Linked DNA regions of Struthio camelus. The protein of the gene in region 1 interacts with the protein of each later gene in a biochemical or structural test. Links are inferred from orthologs where the notes say so. Each region holds a gene or a part of one and is shown on either strand. Other genes may lie near its edges.

What was found.
Region 2: of the proteins of SRC (region 1) and TAMALIN, one has a biochemical effect on the other in vitro, tested with the Homo sapiens proteins (2 studies listed by BioGRID and IntAct, with this or other methods). The link is inferred for Struthio camelus from reciprocal best matches to the Homo sapiens genes SRC and TAMALIN.

The regions. Positions count from the first base shown.
Region 1 is NC_090959.1:7,546,038-7,555,716, reverse strand, and holds the start of SRC (proto-oncogene tyrosine-protein kinase Src), read right to left. Parts: upstream 3,908-9,679; 5' UTR 3,881-3,907; coding exon 3,803-3,880; intron 2,385-3,802; exon of another isoform or gene 2,305-2,384; intron 1,725-2,304; exon of another isoform or gene 1,565-1,724; coding exon of another isoform or gene 1,514-1,564; intron 1-1,513. UniProt on the Homo sapiens protein: Non-receptor protein tyrosine kinase which is activated following engagement of many different classes of cellular receptors including immune response receptors, integrins and other adhesion receptors, receptor protein tyrosine kinases, G protein-coupled receptors as well as cytokine receptors.
Region 2 is NC_090969.1:1,126,476-1,135,863, reverse strand, and holds TAMALIN (protein TAMALIN), read left to right. Parts: upstream 1-5,204; coding exon 5,205-5,339; intron 5,340-5,997; coding exon 5,998-6,047; intron 6,048-6,495; coding exon 6,496-6,550; intron 6,551-6,795; coding exon 6,796-6,898; intron 6,899-7,011; coding exon 7,012-7,105; intron 7,106-7,195; coding exon 7,196-7,262; intron 7,263-7,382; coding exon 7,383-7,449; intron 7,450-7,553; coding exon 7,554-7,894; 3' UTR 7,895-8,202; downstream 8,203-9,388. UniProt on the Homo sapiens protein: Plays a role in intracellular trafficking and contributes to the macromolecular organization of group 1 metabotropic glutamate receptors (mGluRs) at synapses.

The sequences.
Region 1 (9,679 bases):
GCGCAGAGCATCGCTGGTTCCCTTTGCACCCAGTCCTGCTCGGGGCCTTGCACCGACGGGCAGTCGGGCCAGCACGGAGCAAAAGCAAGGATTAGGGCCTGGGTACGCTCGAACGTCGGCTCAAGCCAGCTCTGATTTAGCCACGCTCAGTCAATTACTTGCTCCTTTCTCCTAAAGCGGACTATCTCGTGGCTCACCGCCAACTTAAAACATCCAGGACCAAAGTCATTACTTTCTTTCCGAAGCTTGCTTTAAAATAGCACTACAACACATTCCACGTTTTTGCTCATAGTCGGAGACTTCGGCAAAACGCGAGCCCAGAGGGAATTATTCTCAACGACCCGGAGTTACAAGCCTTAGAAAACAGGACTACGCTGGAATGGAAACAGTGACAGTCTGAGCCCGAGTCACATGAAGAGCATTACAAGGATGGTTATTTCCACGCAAAGAGATTTAAGCTGGTTTTAGGGCATCGAATTAAAGGAACGGCTCCTGGGCAGAGCATCGCGGCCCACGGTCCGGGCACGCGCGCTCTGCGCCGGCCGTTTCGCACCAGCCGAAGCCTTTTCCAGCCCTTTGCACTGGACGAATTTCCAGTCGGGCTCCAAGATGAGACGCAAAGTGCTGAGGAAGTGAGGTCATATGGGAAATTGTTCTGAGAGATAAAGGAACAAGTTAGAAACCAAGCTGCAAAATAGACAGTACAGGAAACAATAGAGCTTTAGATAGTCTTTCAAATTTCCCCTAGTGATGCCAAGAACACAGCACTTCATAGGAGCAATGCTCTTTTTTTTTTTCCTTTTTTTCTTTTGCCTTACACATGCTGCAAGGAAACACAGACTAAAAGATTATGGAGCCGAAGTTGTTTGCTTCAGCCCAGGGCTTGCTCAACCTTTTATCTCGCTCCACGTATTTGTCGGTGGTTAAAATAAGACATTATGGGCCAAGTCTTTCAAGTCTCATTAGAAAAGAGTTGAGTGACTCAAAGGCCAGACTTAATCCCGTTATCGGCGGTAGCCCCAGCAGGGCCTGGGGATGGGGCTGTCTCCCCAGCCCATGCCACCACCCGCCTCGGGGAGCAGAAGTGGCTCCTGCCACCTCGGTGCCACACGGCAGCTTTCCTTCCTGGCGCTTCTGCGCTGCCAAACCTGCAAAGCGACGCTCGGACGGATCAGAGGGCTCCAGCGAGCCAGGCTGAGCAAACCCCTCGTGAAAGAGCCGAAAGCCCTCACGCCACCCACGAACGCGACTGCCACAGGGAGCCAGGGACCCCGAGGGGAGATTGGCAGGCAAGGACAACATCTCAGCAGAGCAGCTAGCGCAGCAGGAAGGACCGACGCGGTTTCAGACGCGCAGGAGCCCCACGGTCCCGTCCAGCCTTCCTGGCCCAGGGCGAACCCACTGAACAGACGCCACTTCCCCCAAAATGCACACAGGGACGCACAGAGAGCCGACTCTGCAAAAAAACCCAAAACAAACCAAAACCCTTGGGGGGTCCAGAGTGCATACATACCCGCCAGCCCCCGCCTCGGGGAGGCTGCGTGACTGCTGACGTCCCCTCCATGGGGCAACAGAGCTTCTTGTCCCCCCAGCAGAGCCTCCACGTACTTTGGTCGCTGCAAACTGCAGCTCTTCCCTTTCATCTTCCACCTCCCAGCTCTCTAGCTCGGTACTTGGACGCTCCTTTCTCTCTCCCCACGGTACCTAGATGATTTTCCATCACTCTGGGACAAAATCGTTACAGGGCAGAGATATCATTAGAGCATCTCCATCACACAGGGAGCACTGCAAGGCCACTAACGATCTAGACAGGGAACATTGGACTTCCCTGAGCGACTGTGTCAGCCCATAAATAACCCAGGCTCCCAAATCACCAGGCTGCGTTTCAGTGGAGCTACTGACTGTAAGGTGAAAGGGTGAGTCTCTGCTCTCGGACTCCCGGGTCAAAACCTGGAGGTGGACACTGACCCCTGTATTGTAAGCAAAGGTGCCCTCCTCTGAAAAACGAGCTCAGGACTGCAGAGACAATTCCCTCGGGAGGGAGCACACACGCCTGATCCCGGAGATCCCAAACAGTCACATCTCTGGTGGGGGGCACGCGCCGGCAAAGCCGTCTGCGGCCCTCACGCCTCCCCAGGAGAGCGCGGCCAGCCCAGGTCCGAGCCCGCCCCGTGCCCTACGCGGGGGCTTCGGCACTCGTAGAGTCACCGCGGGCCGGCGGGGAACTCGGAGCTTGGCAGAGACGAGCGGCTTTCCCAGCATCGAGCGCTGGTCTCTGGGAGTTTGTCATGACCTAGTACTCACGCCTGGGCGCTAGTCACTGCTGCCTGCGGGCACCTCAGCAGGTTAGAGAAAAGCTGCACACACGCTTCAGCTTCCTGCCTGTTCTACACCTTCTCCTCTGGGGAGCACCAGGCTGGGAGGAGGGAGAAAACCCCCACCAACCCTTTCCCTGCCAGGCTCGCGCGGCTGGGTTTGCACGCAGCGCTGCTGAACGTGTGCTTTCCTGTCCCTTTCCCGCTGCGCAGGTAGCGCCGTCCCCAGGCACAAGCCAGAGCTCGCGCGGCGCATGGGGACAGGACCTCAAGGATGACCGCAATAACGGGTCACAACACCCCAGCAGGAGCGGCTTCAGAAGCCCTAAGACTTCTCACAGCAACGGAGGGAGGGGGCCAGCACGGGGACCGACGGTCACATCCGCTCCAACAGCAGCAGGGCTGAGCCCTGGTGCAGCAGGGCCGAGGGGACAAGGCAGGAGAAGGGCAGGGTGACGGGGGAAGAGCGCAAGGCACGCGGCCGGCGAAGCGCACGCAGAAACGCAGCAGAAACGCAGCGGAAATGATTTTGCAGGAGGCTGCACAAAAGTTCTCCGAGAGACCGTTCGGTACCAGACACGAGCACGCCACAGTCAGCGCCCAGACACGCCGCGTCCTCCTTCGCCCCACGCGCGCCTCGCTTCCCGCGGGCCCCAGCCCCGCAGCTCGCCCTGCGGCCGGCACGCGCGGGAGCCCCGCATCCCACCGCGACCCGGCAGCGCGGCCGGTGGGCACCTCCCCGGCATGGCAGGCAGCGAGGCAAGGAGGAAAGCCCACCCCGGCTCCAGCTTGGCTCGGGCACCCGGGGCTACGGCGCTTTCCCGTGGCGCCAGGGGCTGTCATAGAGACGGTGGGGACGCAGCAGCGTAGCTGCTCGCAGACGCCCATCGGGGTGCATCACCCCGGCTGCAACAGGGGAACTTCCAGGCTGGATAAAGCCTTTAATCAGGCAATCCAGGGCCCTGCAGCTTCCTACCAGGCTGATCCCAGGCAGCCCAGGAGAAAGGGCACAGAAAACAGCCTTGGCCTAACAGGGTCCTCCGGGTCCGTCAGAGCTGGACATGACCCCCAGAATTACCGGTGAACAAACGCTACGAGGGAAGTGGATCAAGAGACATCAAAGCAGGGGGGGTGATGAATATTTCATGTCCTGGCCTACATACAGCCCGCTCTCCCCGCCCTGCGCTCCCGGGGGTCCCCCGCAGCCCCCAAACACAACAAAGGGGATCGCGGGCAGGCGGTGCAGCTTGCCTGGACCCCACAGCCGTCCTCTCGGACCTGGCCAGACCCACAGCCGCCCAGCCAGATGTGGCCCGACCCATAGCTGCCCAGATGGACCTGGACATGCCCAGCTGCACCCACAGCCGCCCCATCGGACCTGCCCAGACCCCGAGGCGCCCAGACGGAGCCGCCCAGATCCAGCTGGACCTACAAGCACCCCGCCGGACCTGACCAGACCTAGCTAGACCCATAGCCAGCCGCCCGACCTGGCCGGACCCAGAGCCGCCCGGAGGGACCTGGCCATCCGCAGCCGGACACAGAGCCACCGGCCGCAGCGGCAGCATCCCGGCCGGACCCCGCCGCCGCCCCGGCGTCTCCAGCCGGACCCCCGAGCCGGACTGCGGACATCCCCCCGCCGCCGCCGCCGCCGCCGGAGCCCGCTCACCTCGGCGCGTGCTCGGCCCCGCTTTGTCTCCGCGCCGGGGGCGCGGCCGCCGCCGCCACCCGCCGCCGCCGCTCTGGTGCCCGGGCCGCCGCCGCCGCCGCCGCAGCCCCGCGCCGCTCTGCTCCGCTGCGCTCCGCGCCGAGCCGGGCCGGGCCGGGCCGGCTGCTCAGGGCTGCGCCGCCGGCAGCACCGCGGAGCGCCGCGGATCCGGCGCGCTGCTCCCTCGCCCGCCCCCGCTCACCCCTTCTCTGGTTGGGGGGGGGGGGGGACGACCCACGGGGGGGGGGGGGGGGGAAGAGGAATATGGCAGCAAACCGGAAACGGCTTTATAGGAGGGGAAAAAAAAAGCAGCAGCCCCTCCCCTCGGGTGGTGGTTTTTTTTTTTTTTTTTTTTTTTTTTAAAGGGAGAAGGCTGCGGGCAGCCGGGCTGCGCGGGCGCGGAGCGGGCGCGGCGCCGCCGGTCACGCCAGGGGCAGCGCCCCCGGCCCCCCGGGGGGGCGGCGGCGGCGGCCCGGGCCGCGGGGCCCCAGAGGCGGCGCGGCGCGGCGAGGGGCTTCGCCCGGGCCTTTCGCCTCGCCCTCCGGGCTGCCCCTCCGCGGCGGGGCTGCCAGCGCTAGCGTATTACCGGGAACCAGAGCTGGTGACGGAGAGACAAGGGGTTTTCAGAGTGGTCAAAATCTGGCTATTTTCCCTTCGCTTTATTAGGCAATTCTAACAAACAGCACATAGCGGGGAGCGAAGCTGTTTTGTCACAGCTCCGCGCTCGCGCCTAAGCCCTTCATCCTCGGCAGAGACGCCTGGCGATAGCAGGACGGCTTAAAATCCGTCCTCCTGATATTTTAAAAGGTGGCAAAACTTTAGCGTAGAAAAAAAGGCAGAGAGAAAGCCAGTCCACGTGTGGCCGTAAGGCCCTGGGGGAGCGGCGAGGGCGGCCGGAGCGGCGGGTGGGCGGGCGGGCGCGCGCGAGCGGGGCGCCGCTCTGCCTCGTCCGTCCTCGCCGGCTCCGGGACGGGCCGACAGGGAGGGTGGCAGCGCCTGGGCCGCCGCAGGTTACGCCCTCGGCGGTGGTGGCAGCGCGGCTGTCCTCGTCTCCGTCGCGCGATCCGCCACCCCAATTCGCAGGCTGGAGCAACGCGGCCGGGCTCAGCCGCGGCGGGGACGGTGGCGACGGGTGGTGGGGAAGGCCCCCGCTCTCAGTCGGCGCCGGTTCCTCCTGCCCTGGAGAAGTGGCCCGCCTGGAGCAGAAGTGCTGCCGAGCGGCTAAGGGGAAGCGGAGGGCCGAACGCGCAGCACGAAGGCGACCGTTGCCCCGCCGCTCCCTCCGTTCGCTTGCCCGAAACACGTTCATCAGTACCTTCCTCCCGGCGAGGGTTTTGAGGAGTCTCCCGGCGCTTCCCCCGGCCCCGAGCAGCGCCCCTTCCGCGAGGCGGCCGCGGGGCCGGGCCGGGCCGGGCCGGGGGGAGCGCCGCGGAGCCCGCGCCCCGCCGCGCTCTGGGCCCCTGCCCAGGGGCCTGCTGGCGCCGCGGCGGGCGTCGAGGCTGCCGGGCAGCGCTGCCTCAGCCCTCCCCCAGCTCCCGTTAGCAGCCCGCTGAATCGTTCCCTGTCACTTTATCCTGCGGGAAGAAATTGGGTGAAGCAGTCGGTTGCCACCCGTGTCGCTGTTTTATGAGGCGCGCTCGGTCGGCGGCGGACTACAGTAATCCGCTGGCTGGGTCGCTGCAGCCAACCGCCCGCCTGTGGCCCCGCCGGCCAGCCCTCCCCGCCAGCCCTTGCAGCCACCGAGGAGGGGCTTTTCGAAAACGCCGCAAGTCCCAGCGAGATCTGACCCTGTAGAAACGATCTGAAAAGCTAACGAGTTTCAGAAAACAATGTGGCTGCCCCCCCCCCCGCCTTGTTCTTGTTAAGTTATTAAACAAATATTTCCCATGACACGGCTGAAGGCCAGCGAATCCATGAGTCACCAGGAACGAGGAGTCACGCACCCCGCGGCTCCATCACCCCGGCCCGCGCCGCGCGGGGCCCTGCCCTGGCAGGAGCGCCTCGGCTGATAAGGCCCCGTAGGAGCTGCGCTTGGCCGGAAAAGCCCAGCCCTTTCCCTCCCAGCGCCTCGGAGGGCCGGGCACCGGCAGGCGCTCGGCAGCGGCGGGCGGTTGCTGGAGAGCGAGGGGCTGCGGTTCAGCGCGCCTGCTCGCTCCTTGCCTGGCGGTACGGCGGGCTGCGCGAAGGCCCGGGGACGCGCTCCTCTCCCGCCCGCTCCGGCGGCCGCCGGCAAGTCCCGGGGAGCTGCTCCGGCAGGTAACAGCGCCCCGGGGAGAGCGACGGGCTCGGCCCCAGGCCCTGGGGGAACCGGTTGAACTCAGCCTCTGCCGGATCCAGACCCAAAGCTGAGATGCAATGATGACTTATACATATTTGGATTTTGTTTTCCTCTTTTGCAATCAACTCCTTTCCTGCGGGCTGTCCCACAATCGCGTTTTGCATCTCTGGCGGGGCCGGCCAGTCGCTCAAAGGCGAACAGCAGAAAGCCCTGTGCCTTCGAACACGCTGTACCAAAGCCGCGGCACAGTCGCTCCTTCGATGAAGACACCAACGGGCAAATCTAGAATGGCAAAGAGATACCCTCAAAAACCAGCCCCTTATCTTCTGGGCTCTGATTCAGGAATGTGCCCTCGCAACACTGACATTAAACACCCGGTATTGGCGATAATGCAATTTAAACTCATTCGAGTTTAAGCAACTCAACACACTTGAGTGCTTTCTTGAATCAGACTCAAACTCCTGAGACTGAAGGACAACTGCCGTCAAAATATTTTTCATTAAACAGTCTAAAACAAGATCCTTCTTACCCAACCCAGGGTTTTAATGTCTTACCTGAAACTTTTTTTCTTGAGATGTTTTATTTCCGTTCGCTTTTAAACAGCACCAATCAAACCCGTACTGGAGAGGGGAGAAGGGTTATAGAGCGAGGCTGAAACAGAGATAAAAAGTCACCGGCAAATTTAAAAAGCATCACTGGATATTTCTGCTGTCTCGCTTATTACAGCACATCTTGATCGCTTGTTAGAATATCATTTTAAGATGTGCATAGGCATTTTCCTGCTTTCCTGCTGATCTTTAGCAGGAAAAAAAAAAAAAAAGAATGACAATCACTATACCCAGAGCGCTGTCAGGTTAATGGAGTAAATAAGTATATGGTTTCTTTGTTACTGCCGTCAGGTGTACACATCACCGGTAGCCGTTGATGTACGTCAACATCGGCGGAGAGAGCTCCCCGGCTGATGTCTAAGGCCCTACGTGCGCCGTGCTGCAGCGCGCCGCAGCGGGGCCGGAGGCTCCCCGCTTCTCCCAGCCGGCCGGGGCTGCGCGGCGGCACCCTGCCCCTCAGCGGGGAGGTCCTCAAAACGCGGCATGAGCCACATCGAATTGCTCCGCGAGACTCGGAAAATCTTCTTGTAAAGCAAGAGGATGCTTTTGGGGCCCAATAATCGATCTGTGTCCTGACCTCAAACTGTAGCTGTGGCTTTGCGACAAAACATCTATTCATCTCCAAACAGATTTATTTTTAAGCATCTCCTTGGCAAGCGTGAATGAGTTTTGTTTAATGGATCCTGTTCCTGAGGCCACTTGCATTTTATTCACTGCAAAATCCAAACACATTTGCCCGAATTATTACTCTTAATAATAGAACAGTTGTGTTCAAGCTGCTGGGCAGAGGCAGAAGCGGGAACGGCTCTTTCCCTAAGAATTTACGATCATTGAACTTTACAGTCTTGCAAATAGTGAGCGTGTGCGACAGCAAACGATGAGAACGACCAGATCCATTAGGAAAGCCGCAGTTATGAGCTATGGGGCTGATTTACTAGGGGGAATTGAGGAGAATAGCTCTTGCAGTACAAGCCATTTGGCAATATTTCGTCGCAGAATCTGATTCTGGCCATTCTCTCCTGCACTGAGCATCAGGTCCGCAAGAGCAGAGCGACAAGAACTGCTTGCCAACGTCTGGTGGGCTGTATGATAAAAAAGGGCAGTTGAAAGGAAGTCACCAAGTGGACTCAGGACATCGCTCAGGAAAGGGGTCAGTGGGCGGGTGGAGGAAAGGGGTCGGTGGGCGGGTGGCAGCTCAAGACCTGCCGTGCCCTTCGGTGTGGCGACAGTCTGCCACGTCCGTCGGCTGGGGGAAGGCGAAACAGGCTCTTACCCCAGCTCTGAAGCTGCACAAGTCCGGTAGTGTCAGTGCAAAATTCCCTCGGGGAATGGGTGGCTGGAAAACACTCACTTAGTGGAATGTAAATGTTTGGGGAGAAGCCCCAGAGTTCTTCAACAGCTTTGGAAGGCAATTACCTATACGTTCAATACAGTCACAGCATTTCATGTCCGCTTTATATCTGATAAAATATAACATTTTGATCAGAATAGAATTAGGTATTTCGGAATAGCTCATTCAGACAAAAATTCTACACTTTTCACTTTTTGCCTCAGTTTAGAAGAAAAGCCACAAACAAAACATCGGCATTTCCTAGTGGTAGAAATTCTGCTTTTTGGCCAGTCTTAGTGTCAACAGAAACGAGCAGTTCAGAAAAGCCCATGGAAAACTGTACAGACGAGATTTATAGCCTTTCTTTCCAGCTGCTTTGCTAACAGAGCAGCTGGGGATTCCTCCCGAGTGCAGGAATCACTGGGTAGTTCAAAGCTCTTGTAGCCGCATCAACTTGACCTTCCCCTGGAGCACAAGGGGGTGTGTGTGCAGAGCAGATTGGGCTGTAGCATTCCTCAGACAGCAGAGAAGTCCCCGGGGCGCTGTTCCTGCGAGGGCAGGGCTGCTCGCAGTCACATTAGTGACTGCAGCCTGTGCCAAATGGAGCTCCAACAGACACAAGGGTGGTTCCCACTCATCATTCAGTGTTGGTCCTTTGAGCGAGGGATGGGCTAAGGAAGCCAAAGTCTGAGTCTGTAAAATTTAAACCATATGATGTTTGGATCTACGTTCAATTTAAACTGAACTAAGTAAGTGGGGGGAAGGTAGGGAACAGAAATGTTTGCCGCTTCGCCCCTCCTCTCCAAAAAAGCCTCCCCCAGCAGTTCCCTTCATCCCGGAGGCCTGATCCTCCGGGACATGCGGACATCTGCCTCAGCCACCTAAAGCAGCTGCGGTAGCATCAAAAGTATCGGCTCCGCAGAGAGCTCAGCCTCGAGGAACTTGGCGTGCGCAGACCCCAACAGCCACAGTCCGGTCGTTTTACGGCACAGACCCACCCAGCGGGATCTAATTTATAGGGCAAACTCTCTGAAAGTAGGAGAGATGTGACCTAACAAGCCCCACGGCTGCAGCACGGCTCCCTGCCCACGTGGCTACGGCCGAGGCACAAGTAAGGCAGGACGTGTCTGGGGCTGGGGCCTGACTCAGCTGCGCTCGCTTCCCTGCGCTCCGGGAGTGCTGCTGCCCTGAAACAGCTCACCCATCCCACAGTGCGTGCCGTACTCTGGACTTTGGCTGTTGGGGTTATGAATTTATAAGCTCAGAATGGGTTTTACAGAAGCAGCAGCCACAGGGAAGGTAATAGGAATTGGCTTTGGGGCCAAGGACACCTGAGCTGAAGCTGCAGCTTGGACAAAATCTAAGAAATCTCAGACTAGTCCTGATGCCTCCCTAGGCCCCAGTCTATGAACTGGAGCTGGTTGTACTTAACACTTACAGGGG
Region 2 (9,388 bases), on another chromosome or scaffold:
GGGTGCCTTGCTGTCCGTGTGCCGGCTGCAGGAGCTTCCCGTCAGGTTGCCTCACTGCCACCCCCTCCCCTTTTTAAAGAAAAACAAAACAAAACAAATGAGGAACCGACTTCACTCCTGGAATCCAGGCTTTTGTCTTGAGCCCCTGGGGTTTATGAAAAGAGAAAAGAGACCTGGGGTGGGTGGGGGGTTGGGGGGAAATGCCACAGAGCGGAGATGCACATCAGTGAGAGCAGGCACCGTGCCTGGCTGGAAGGAGACCAGGCCACGGGGAAATGCAGTGATAATACCACGGGGTATTATTCTTGCAGGAATCTGATTTTGGAGCGACCCACAACTTGAGGCAGACTACTTAGGGTCCGAGCTGCAAGGAGCTGGGTGTCTGCGAGCTGGTTGTGCTCTGTACCTCCTGGGGACACTCAGCACTTCACAGGCTCTGACAGTGGAGTGTGGGCTTGGAAACAAATGTCCATCTTTTTGATATACATATATAAATATCTCATAATCTGGAAGTGGCTGTGTATAACTTGTGGGGTGGGGGGAACTGCATGAATTTTATTTTAGTTAAATAACCAATCAGGGTGAAGTAGAGTTGATTTGACGGTTGTCTACAGCTGGGCTTAGCAAAAATGGAAGTAGCTGAGGACTGAATCTGTAGCGCTGATTGCAACACTGAAGGCATTCTTGGAAGTATCAGTTGTTTGTTGGTTAGGTCAGTATCTATGGTATATAACTGAAGCCATAACTTTTAACTGGAGTGGTTTTGATTATTTTTTTTATTTTATGGGAGGGTCTGGATTTTAACTTTTTTTAATATTGTTAATTCTTTATAAGAGAAGAAAAACAATCTATAATTATTACCTCTCAACCTCTTTGTTTGTAAAGAAATCACTGCAAAAAAGGAAAAAAAACCAAATGCACACAGCTCGATTTACACTGGAACTGTTTCTACTCAAACCTTGAGCCTGCTCTGTAAGGTGAGGTTTAATCTCTGCTCCGGCCATCGGGGTTAAGTTTTTTTTTCTTCTTCTTCTTCTTTTCTTTTCCTCTTTTTAAACACTCTGTTCTTGCTGTCTGTATATCTGTCTGTGTGTCTGCCTTCTCCCAGACCCCCTCTCTTGTCTGTGATTTTTATCTGTGTCAAGTGCGAAGTGTTTTTTGCATCATGTTTGGAGCCATTTTTGCATTCTCCCGTGGATTTTTAACTGTCAGGCAGTGCAAAGCTGTCTTGGGAGGGTCTACAGACTTCAGACTGATTCATGGAGCTGTGTGGAGTATACGCTTTGTGAATGTACAGCTTCCCTTCCCTTTCCGATTTGTTCTGACTTGTTTCTCAGCCAGAGGTTACCATGCATCTCCAGTACCGTATATTCCTTTACCAAACCCTTCTGCATTTAGGAACCTTGGGTGGTGGGCACTTCACAGATACCCAAAAGACTCTTCAGCTGCTGTAACAGGACCCTTGCGATGGCCCTTCCCAAGAGGTTGGGGAGGAAGTCCTAGCGACTGTGAAATAAACTGCCATAGGAAAGCCCATCACGCTGGTAGGTACGTCTGCCGCGTGCTCTTCCGCGAGCGTTACGGATTCTTGTTTCCAAGCGCGAGTCTCCTGTTCCTGTTAACTGTGCAGGCTGCTTCTTGAGGACACTAAAATCAGCTATGTAACTTGCACTGATTCACTCGCCCGCTCCTCCTACTGTAGCCACACATGCACCTGCCTCAATGCTATACCAAACAGCAGACAGCGGAGCAGTATCGGACCGGATGGGGTTGGAAGGGGCGAGGGCAGGACGGCAGAGCGTCCCCTCTAAGGAGGACCGTCAAACAAGCCTTGTTTGTAGAGACAGATGCCATCGCAGTACGGTCAAAACAGAGTAGGATCCGAGATGGGAACGCTAACTATGTAGCATTTATACAGCACTTTTCATGCAAACGTGTGCCAGTGAGGTGCAGCGGTTACTTAGCTGACCGGTAGCAAACATAGGAATCGCTGCCCAGCTCAGAGGTGGCTGCAGCAGCTGTCACAGGATGCAACACTACAGGCAGTTCAGGACGCGACCGATGCCACATCAGTTCAAATCGGGGAGCAGGAGGCTTCAGCTCTTTGGGAGAAGATTGCTGGGGAGAGGCAGAGATACAGACCTTGTGCTTCTCGCCTGTGGCACAGGGCTCATCAGTGGTACGCTGGCTTCAGAACAGATCTCTTGGTACTTATCTGCCCCTTTTATTTGTTTGGTTTTGTACATTTTATTAGAAATGGACTGTAAAATAGCCACTTAGACACTTTACCTCTTCAGTATGCAAATGTAAATACGATGTAATATAGGAAATCTTTTGTTTAATATAAAACAAGGCTGTCAATTTCTGCTGTACATTATTAAAAGTTTGTTTTATTCACGGAAGGTGTCGAAGTCTTTCCTGTTGGCTGCGGGGGATGAGCGCGCCGCGGAGGGGTAGGACCCGAGCAGCGGGCTGGCGCGGGGAGCCCAACCAGGCGTCGCAGGGCAAGACCTGAGCGGCGCTCTGCTTCCTCGGAGCAGGCTTGGCGGAGGGGTCTCCCCTGGCGGGAGTGCAACGCTGGGGGTGACTGAATCCAGGATCTTTAGGTTAGAGCTGGCAGTGCTTTAGTATATCTGAAGCATCTGTTGTTTGTCACCAGAAGGGACCGGAGCCGTTTCGGGTCAGCTCCATCCCTCTGTCTTGACTGGTGACGCTGAGGTAAAGCTCAGACTTCTGTCCCCGGTGGAGGTTATAGTCTTACAAAGCCTAGAGACGTGTTTGGGGAGCTTGTTTGGTCGTGAGCAGGCTGCAACTAAAATAATCTGCCCAGGGCTCTCGCCCAGCAAACCTTCATTGCTTTAAACATTCCCCTTCTCGGTGGGGATGCAGCTTCCGTGGGTCTGCTGTGTCTTCCCGAGACACCTTTGCTCCGGCACAGGCGAGCCCACCATGTGGCAGGGCACAGTTTAAAGCTCGGTGCACAGGGATAAAAAGCTACGCTCAAAAGCGCTCCCTCTCCGGCGACGGTAATTGGAAGCAGGAGGGTGTCCTGCAGGAGGTTCTCCAGAACAACCCCCTCGGGCTGCCAGCTCTGCGCAAACCAGCGCTTTCAAAGGAGGAGGAATTTTAGTCTGAACTGCTGAGCATCCCTACGAAATCCTATTTGCTCGGAGGGTAGCCGGTGCTGCTCCAACTGCCTGGGCTAATTCTCCCTAATTAGAGCCTCCTGTGCGTGAGCGAGCATGTTGTGGAGGGATAAAGGGGAAAATCCGCTGTGCCCGAGCTGGGGCCTGGGCTACCCCGTGGGCTCAGACTAATGGAATTAGCCGGCTGCTGGCGAGGGGCAGCTGCCATCTGCCTTTAGCTGTGTTTGCACTTCCCCACCGCGCTCCCGGGGGCTCAGCGTGCCGCTCAGGGCGAAACCAGACCCCCATGCTGTAAAACGAGGAGACGGGTGAGTGGGGGGGGGGCTTTTTCTTTTTTTTTTTTCTTTTTTTTAAGGCAAAGTTTGCCTCCTTTTCCATGTGGCCACCTGGAAGAGGGGCAGTCGGAGGGGACAGCCGGGGTCTGGGATCTCTTGGGACGGGGCTGAAGTCTTGGGTGCCAGATTTCTGGAACAAGATGGGGCTCTTCTTGCTGTTTTCCTTGATAAAGGGAGGTGGCTCGACGCCCCGAGTCCTGCCTGCCCGTCCCTAAGCGCTTTCGAACCAGACAAGTTCAGCTCTGGGAGCGAACTTGTCTCCTGGTAACCCCCGGACAGGCTGTGGGCGGGTGGTTTGGGTGTAACGCAGTCAGGATTTTTTTTTTTTTGGCAAATTTTAAATAAACAGCTGGGCAAACCCCTGAATTCCAGCTGCTGTGTCCTGGAGCGAGGCTTTGTCGGCTGCAGGCTTTGCAGAAACGGGCTGCTTCTGCCCTGTGCAAAAAAGCAAACGGACCTCCAGCCGAAACAGCCCCGTCGCCTTCTCCAAGGCGCCCTTCCCTGTACCTCTCCGTCCCGAACGCGCGTCGGGCTTTGCAGCCGACGGTTAAAATCCCTTCCCTGCCCCGGCGGGACCCAGGGCCGAGGCTCTGCCTCGAGCGAAGTCCTAAACGCCCCCCCGGGTGCCCTTCGCCTGCGGCGAGACCCGGCGCAATTTCCCCCCCAAAGCCCCCGCAGGAAAGCGGCCTGAGAAAGCAGCGGCCGGAGGATGCTCGGGGGGGGGGGTTTGGGGTTGTCCTTCCAGCTCGGCCACTCGTCGCGGGACGAGCTGCTGCGCGGCGCCGGCCGACGACGCTTCGGGGGCCGATGATGCTTCGGGGGCCGACGCGGCAGGTGAAACCCGGCGGCTTCGCCGGCCGCCCGCAGCTCCCGGCTCCGGGGCCGCTCGCGAGTCACCGGCTTTGCTCCCTGCTGAAAACTAAACCCAGGCGGCGCCGGGGGGACGCTCGGGCTCCGGGCCGGTTCGGGGGGGGCGGCTGCCGGGCCGCCGGCTCTCCCCCCCTCCCCGTGCCCCCCAACGCCCTGCGGCCCCACGGTGTGATGCCCCAGGTGCCCCGACGCCCCCTGCACCCCCTGCTCCCCGATGCCCCATAGTCCCCCCATGGCCCCCGATGCCCCCCGATGCCTCAATGCCCCCTGCTCCCCCCATGCCCCCTGATGCCCCCCTGCTACCCCGATGCCCCGACCCCTCCGCTTCCCCAATGCCCCATTGTCCCTCCATGGCCCCGATGCCCCCCTGCTCCCCCCATGCCCCCTGAAGCCTCGATGCCCCCCGCTCCCCCCATGCCCCACAGTTCTACCCATGCCCCCCGATGCCCCTCTGCTCCCCCAATGCCCCCCAATGCCCCAACACCCCCCCGCTCCCCCCATACCCCCTGCTCCCCCGATGCCCCCCTGCTCCCCCGATGCCCCCCGATGCCCCGACACCCCCCCGCTCCCCCAATGTCCCATAGTCCCCCCCGATCCCCCCCGATCCTCCTCAGCCCCCCCCCGATGCCCCTGTGCTCCCCCCGGCAGCTGGACGGGGGCGGGGCTAGCCCGAGAGGCGGGGCCGAGCCGTCGAAGTGGGCGGGGGCTCATCCGAGTGAAACGGGGCGTGGTTTGCGCTGGGGGAGTGGGCGTGGTCCCGACCGGTGTGGGGGCGTGGCCTTGCCTAGCACCGCCCCCCCGCGCCCGCCCCCGGGGCCCTTATAGCGGCGCGCCGACGGCCCCGCGCCCGGCCATGACCCTGCGGCGGCGGCGGCGGCTCCTGCCCGAGGAGGAGGCGGCGGCGGCGGCCCCCCCGGGCCCGGTGCCTCCCCCCGACGTCTACCGGGCGCTGGCGGCGGCCGGCGGCACCCTGCCCCGCGTGCGCAAGGTGGGTGGCGGGGGGTCCCGTCGGGGCGCACCGGGCGCGTCGCTGCCGCCGCCGCGGCTCCTTCCTTCCTGCGGCCTCCGGGGCTTTTGGGACCGGAGCCGCCGCGTGTCCCCCCCCCACGACGGGGCTCCGCGCGCAGGGCTTGGCGGAGGTGGGTGGGAAACCCGCTCATCGGTGCGATGAATGCGGCCGTTCTCGGCCGGGCGCGGCGGCACCCCCCCCCCCCCCCTCCGTCCCCAATCCCGCCCGGTGCCGTCGGGTCGCCGCCGTCCTGCTCCGCGCTGCCGGCGCCGCGCCGCGATAAGGGGGGGTTGTTTGGGCCAAGGCGGGGGGGGTGAGTTTTGCATTTAAAAAAAAAAAAACCACACACGCACACACAAAAAACAACAAAAAAAGGCTTTGTGCTTAAAAACAGGGCCCCTCTGTCGCAGGGCACCGGCCGCGGCCTGACGTCAAAGCGTGGGGCGAGCGCGAGGCAGAGGCGAGGGCCGCTGTGATTGCGGATAAGAGCCTCCTTATACCCGGCGGGGACGGCTGGCGGGGTCGCATGGCGGGGGGGGGGTTGGCTGCGGGACACCCCGTCGGGGCCGGTCCCCCGGCGAGGGGGAGGACGTGCTGCGGGACGGAGTCGCCCGCTAACGCCTCTGGTCCGCCGCAGGGCGCCGGGTGCAGGCGGAGGTCGCCCGGGGAGTCCCCGCAGGAGCGCAGGTGGGTACCGCTGCCCTTGGCCGACGCTTTGGGCTCTGGCCGGCCGCAGCCCCCGGCCGCCGACGCTTCCCGTCTGCGGCTCCCAAGAGCCGGGGCCGCGGGGGAGCAGAGCCGCCCCGAAAGTCTCTGCGTGAACTTTGTTTTGTGCTTTAACCCAAAGCTGGGGAGAGCAGGGGCGATTCGCTGTAGCGGCCCGGGACCCCCGCGGGGACGCGGGTGAACGCGCACCGGGGCAGGTTGCAGGGACGAATCCCCCCCCCCCCCCCGGGGCCGGGGGCTGCCGCCGGGCTCGGGGCCAGCAGCAGCGCAGTGGGGGGGGGGGGACCCCAAACCTCAAAGCGGGTTTTCATTAGAAAAGCACCACAAGTCTTGGAGGGGCGGATGAGGGGGCTGCCCCCCCCCCGGAAACGTCTCCGGCGTGTCCCTAACGCCGCTTTCCCACCCGCAGGAGGGTGGTGACGCTGGAGAAGAAGGCGGAGGAGGCGTTCGGCTTCGAGATCCAGGTCAGCGGGGCGCCGGGGGTCCTCGCCCGTGCCCCCCGCCCGGCACCTCGCTTCTGCACCGAGGGTGTTTTTAAAAGCGCCTCCGAGCCAGGGTTTATTTTTAACGCCGGCGAAGCTGCGTGGTTCCCGAAGCCTCGCGGCCGCCGCGCGCCCCGGTCGGGGGCTGCGGCCGTCTGGTGCCGCGGGGTGCAATTTGGGGAGGGGGGGGGACCACCCGGCGCCCCTCACCCGGCTGCTCCTTTCAGACCTACGGGCTGCACCACCAGGAGAAGAACAGCGTGGAGATGTTCACCTTCGTGTGCCGGGTGCACGACGGCAGCCCGGCCGCCGCCGCGGGGCTCCAAGCCGGTGAGCGCGTCCGTCCGTCCCGGGGGAGCAGGGGGGGGACCCAGGCGTCCGGGGCCACTGGTCCGCGGGAGCTGAGCCTCGTCCCTGCCGGCGGCGGCCGCTCGCTGGGGCAGGTGACACCATCACGGGGGTGAACGGGCTGAACGTGGAGGGCGTCCGGCACCGGGAGATCGTGGACATCATCAAGGGCTCCGGCGACCTGCTCAGGTGAGATGGTTTTGGGGGGGGGGGGGGACACCTGTCCTGTCCCCGTCCCCGTCCCGCCGCCAGCCCACGCTCACGGGCTCTGCCCCGCAGGCTCGACACGCTCTACGGGACCGCGGTGCGGCGGGCCGAGCTGGAAGCCCGGCTGCAATACCTGAAGGTGAGGCGGGAGCGGGGGGGATACCGGGGGTGGGGGGGGTGGGATGCAGGGTTCCCCCCCCCCCGCCGCCCCGTCCCCAATGCACGGGGTCCCCTCCGCAGCATCCTCTCCCGCTCGCAGCAAACCCTCTACGAGAAGTGGGGCGAGTACCGCTCGCTGATGGTGCAGGAGCAGCGGCTGGTGCGCGGTGAGTGGGGGGCGCCGGGGGGGGGGAGCGGGTGGCAGCCGAGGGGGGGCCACCAGCAGCCCCCTGACGCCTGTGTGTGTGTCCCCCCCCCCGACCTCGGCCAGGCGTGGTGGCCAAGGACCCCAGCATCTACGCCACGCTGGAGGCGCTGCGCTGGTGCCTGCGGGGCGCGGGGCTGCCCGGCGGCGGCGGCTCGCCCCGGCTCAGCGCCGGCAGCGACGACTCGCTCTACCAGACGTGCGTCTTCGACACGCCGGAGGGCGACGGCGATGCCGGGGCCGGGCCGGCCTTGGCCCGCAGCGCCAGCCTGCGCGGGACCCCCGGGGACGGCGCGGCCGCCCCCCTGCCCCCCCGCAAGGGCAAACGCAGCAGCTTCCGCCGGCGCCTGCTCAAGTTCATCCCGGGACTGAACCGCTCGCTGGAGGAGGAGGAGAGCCAGCTCTAGGGCGCCCGGCCGCCCGGCCTATTTATTTATTTATTGCAAGGGCTGCTGAGCCCTGCTGCCGGGGCTCGGGGTGCACCCTCGTCCCCCCCCAACCGGGGACGGCTGCCGGCTCGGCCCGCGTCGGGGCGATCGCGCCGGGCGGTGGGACCGCTGCTCGGCCCGGCCGCGGACTTTTCTTTTTTCCCCCCTGGAAAAGCCGCTGTTTTATCTCAGGAAAACTCCCCCTTCCTCCCGCGCCAGCAGCGCTGCCCGGCTGCGGGGGTCCGGCGCTCCCCCCCCCCTTCGCCCTAATACAGAGACTTTTTGCACCCGCTTGTGGCTGCGACTCATCCGGGGTGGCAGGGAAGGGACATGGGGGCGGGCTGGCCCTGGTGGCACCAGGTCCTTCCCTGGGGCAGGGGGCTGGAGTAGGGCCTCGGCCCCCCCGGCAGGGGCTCTGGGCTCCCTCATCCCCCCTGACTTTCCCTCTTTGCTGCCCCGTGTGGGGCTGTGCCCCCCTCCCTGGTCTCTGGGTTTTGGGGGCTGTTTTGCCCCCCAAAGGCAGGAAAAGCAGCTGTTAAGCACAGGGCTGGTGCACGGGGGTCGCCTGCCCCTTTGCACCCTGGCGCAGGGGGGGAAGTGGGGCTCGTGCTGTGGTGCCAGCTCCTGGGCGCGTGGGCAGCCCTGCAGCGCGCCGGCTCCCTGCTGCAAGCGTGAATGCACGCGCAGCCCTGCAGCTCGTCGCATCCCTAGTGCAAACGTGAATGCACGCGCAGCCCTGCAGCTTGCTGCATCCCTAGTGCAAACGTGAATGCACGCGCAGCCCTGCAGCGCGCTGGCTCCCTACTGCAAACACGGGAGCGGGGTGGAGGTTGCTGGTGCCAGGCTGCGCGGTCCCCGCTCTGCTGTTTGCCTCCTCGGGGTTGCATCCTGCTGCCCCGCTGGCGTCATGAGGGGGGCCCGGCGCTGGCTCACGGTGACGCCTCCGTCCGCGAGTGCCACGTCCTCGGCGTCCCTCCTGTGGCTGGAGGCTCCGGCGCTGCTGGGCTGCGGCCAGCCCCGCTTCCTGCCTCGCTTCCTCCGGGAGCCTGCAAGTGGCTCGGAAAGCGGTTCCCACCCCGAGGCCTTCCTGCCGCGCGGGGGGCCCGGGGCTGCGCAGGGGCTGCGATGGAGCAGGATGGGCCCCCGGCACCCTGCTCCGTGCCACGCTGTCGCCCAACGCCGAGGAAGCGGCACCCAAAAGCTGTTGGGGTCTGCAGAGCCCCCCGCTCTCCCCGTGGCTGAGCTGGGCCCCTCCAACCTTGCAGCGAGCACCCCTGGGTGCCTGCTCCGATGCTGCTGTCCTGCCAGCCCTGGCGAGGGGGTTTGAGCACCCGCATCCGGCCCCGGGGGCACCCCGGTTAGCGAGGGCATGGAGCAAGTGAGGTGTTAGCCGTGCGCCGCGGCTGCAGGAGGGCACTGCTGCCCAGCGGCCGCACGGGGCCTTGCACAAGGGCAGCCTTGCACGAGGGCTCC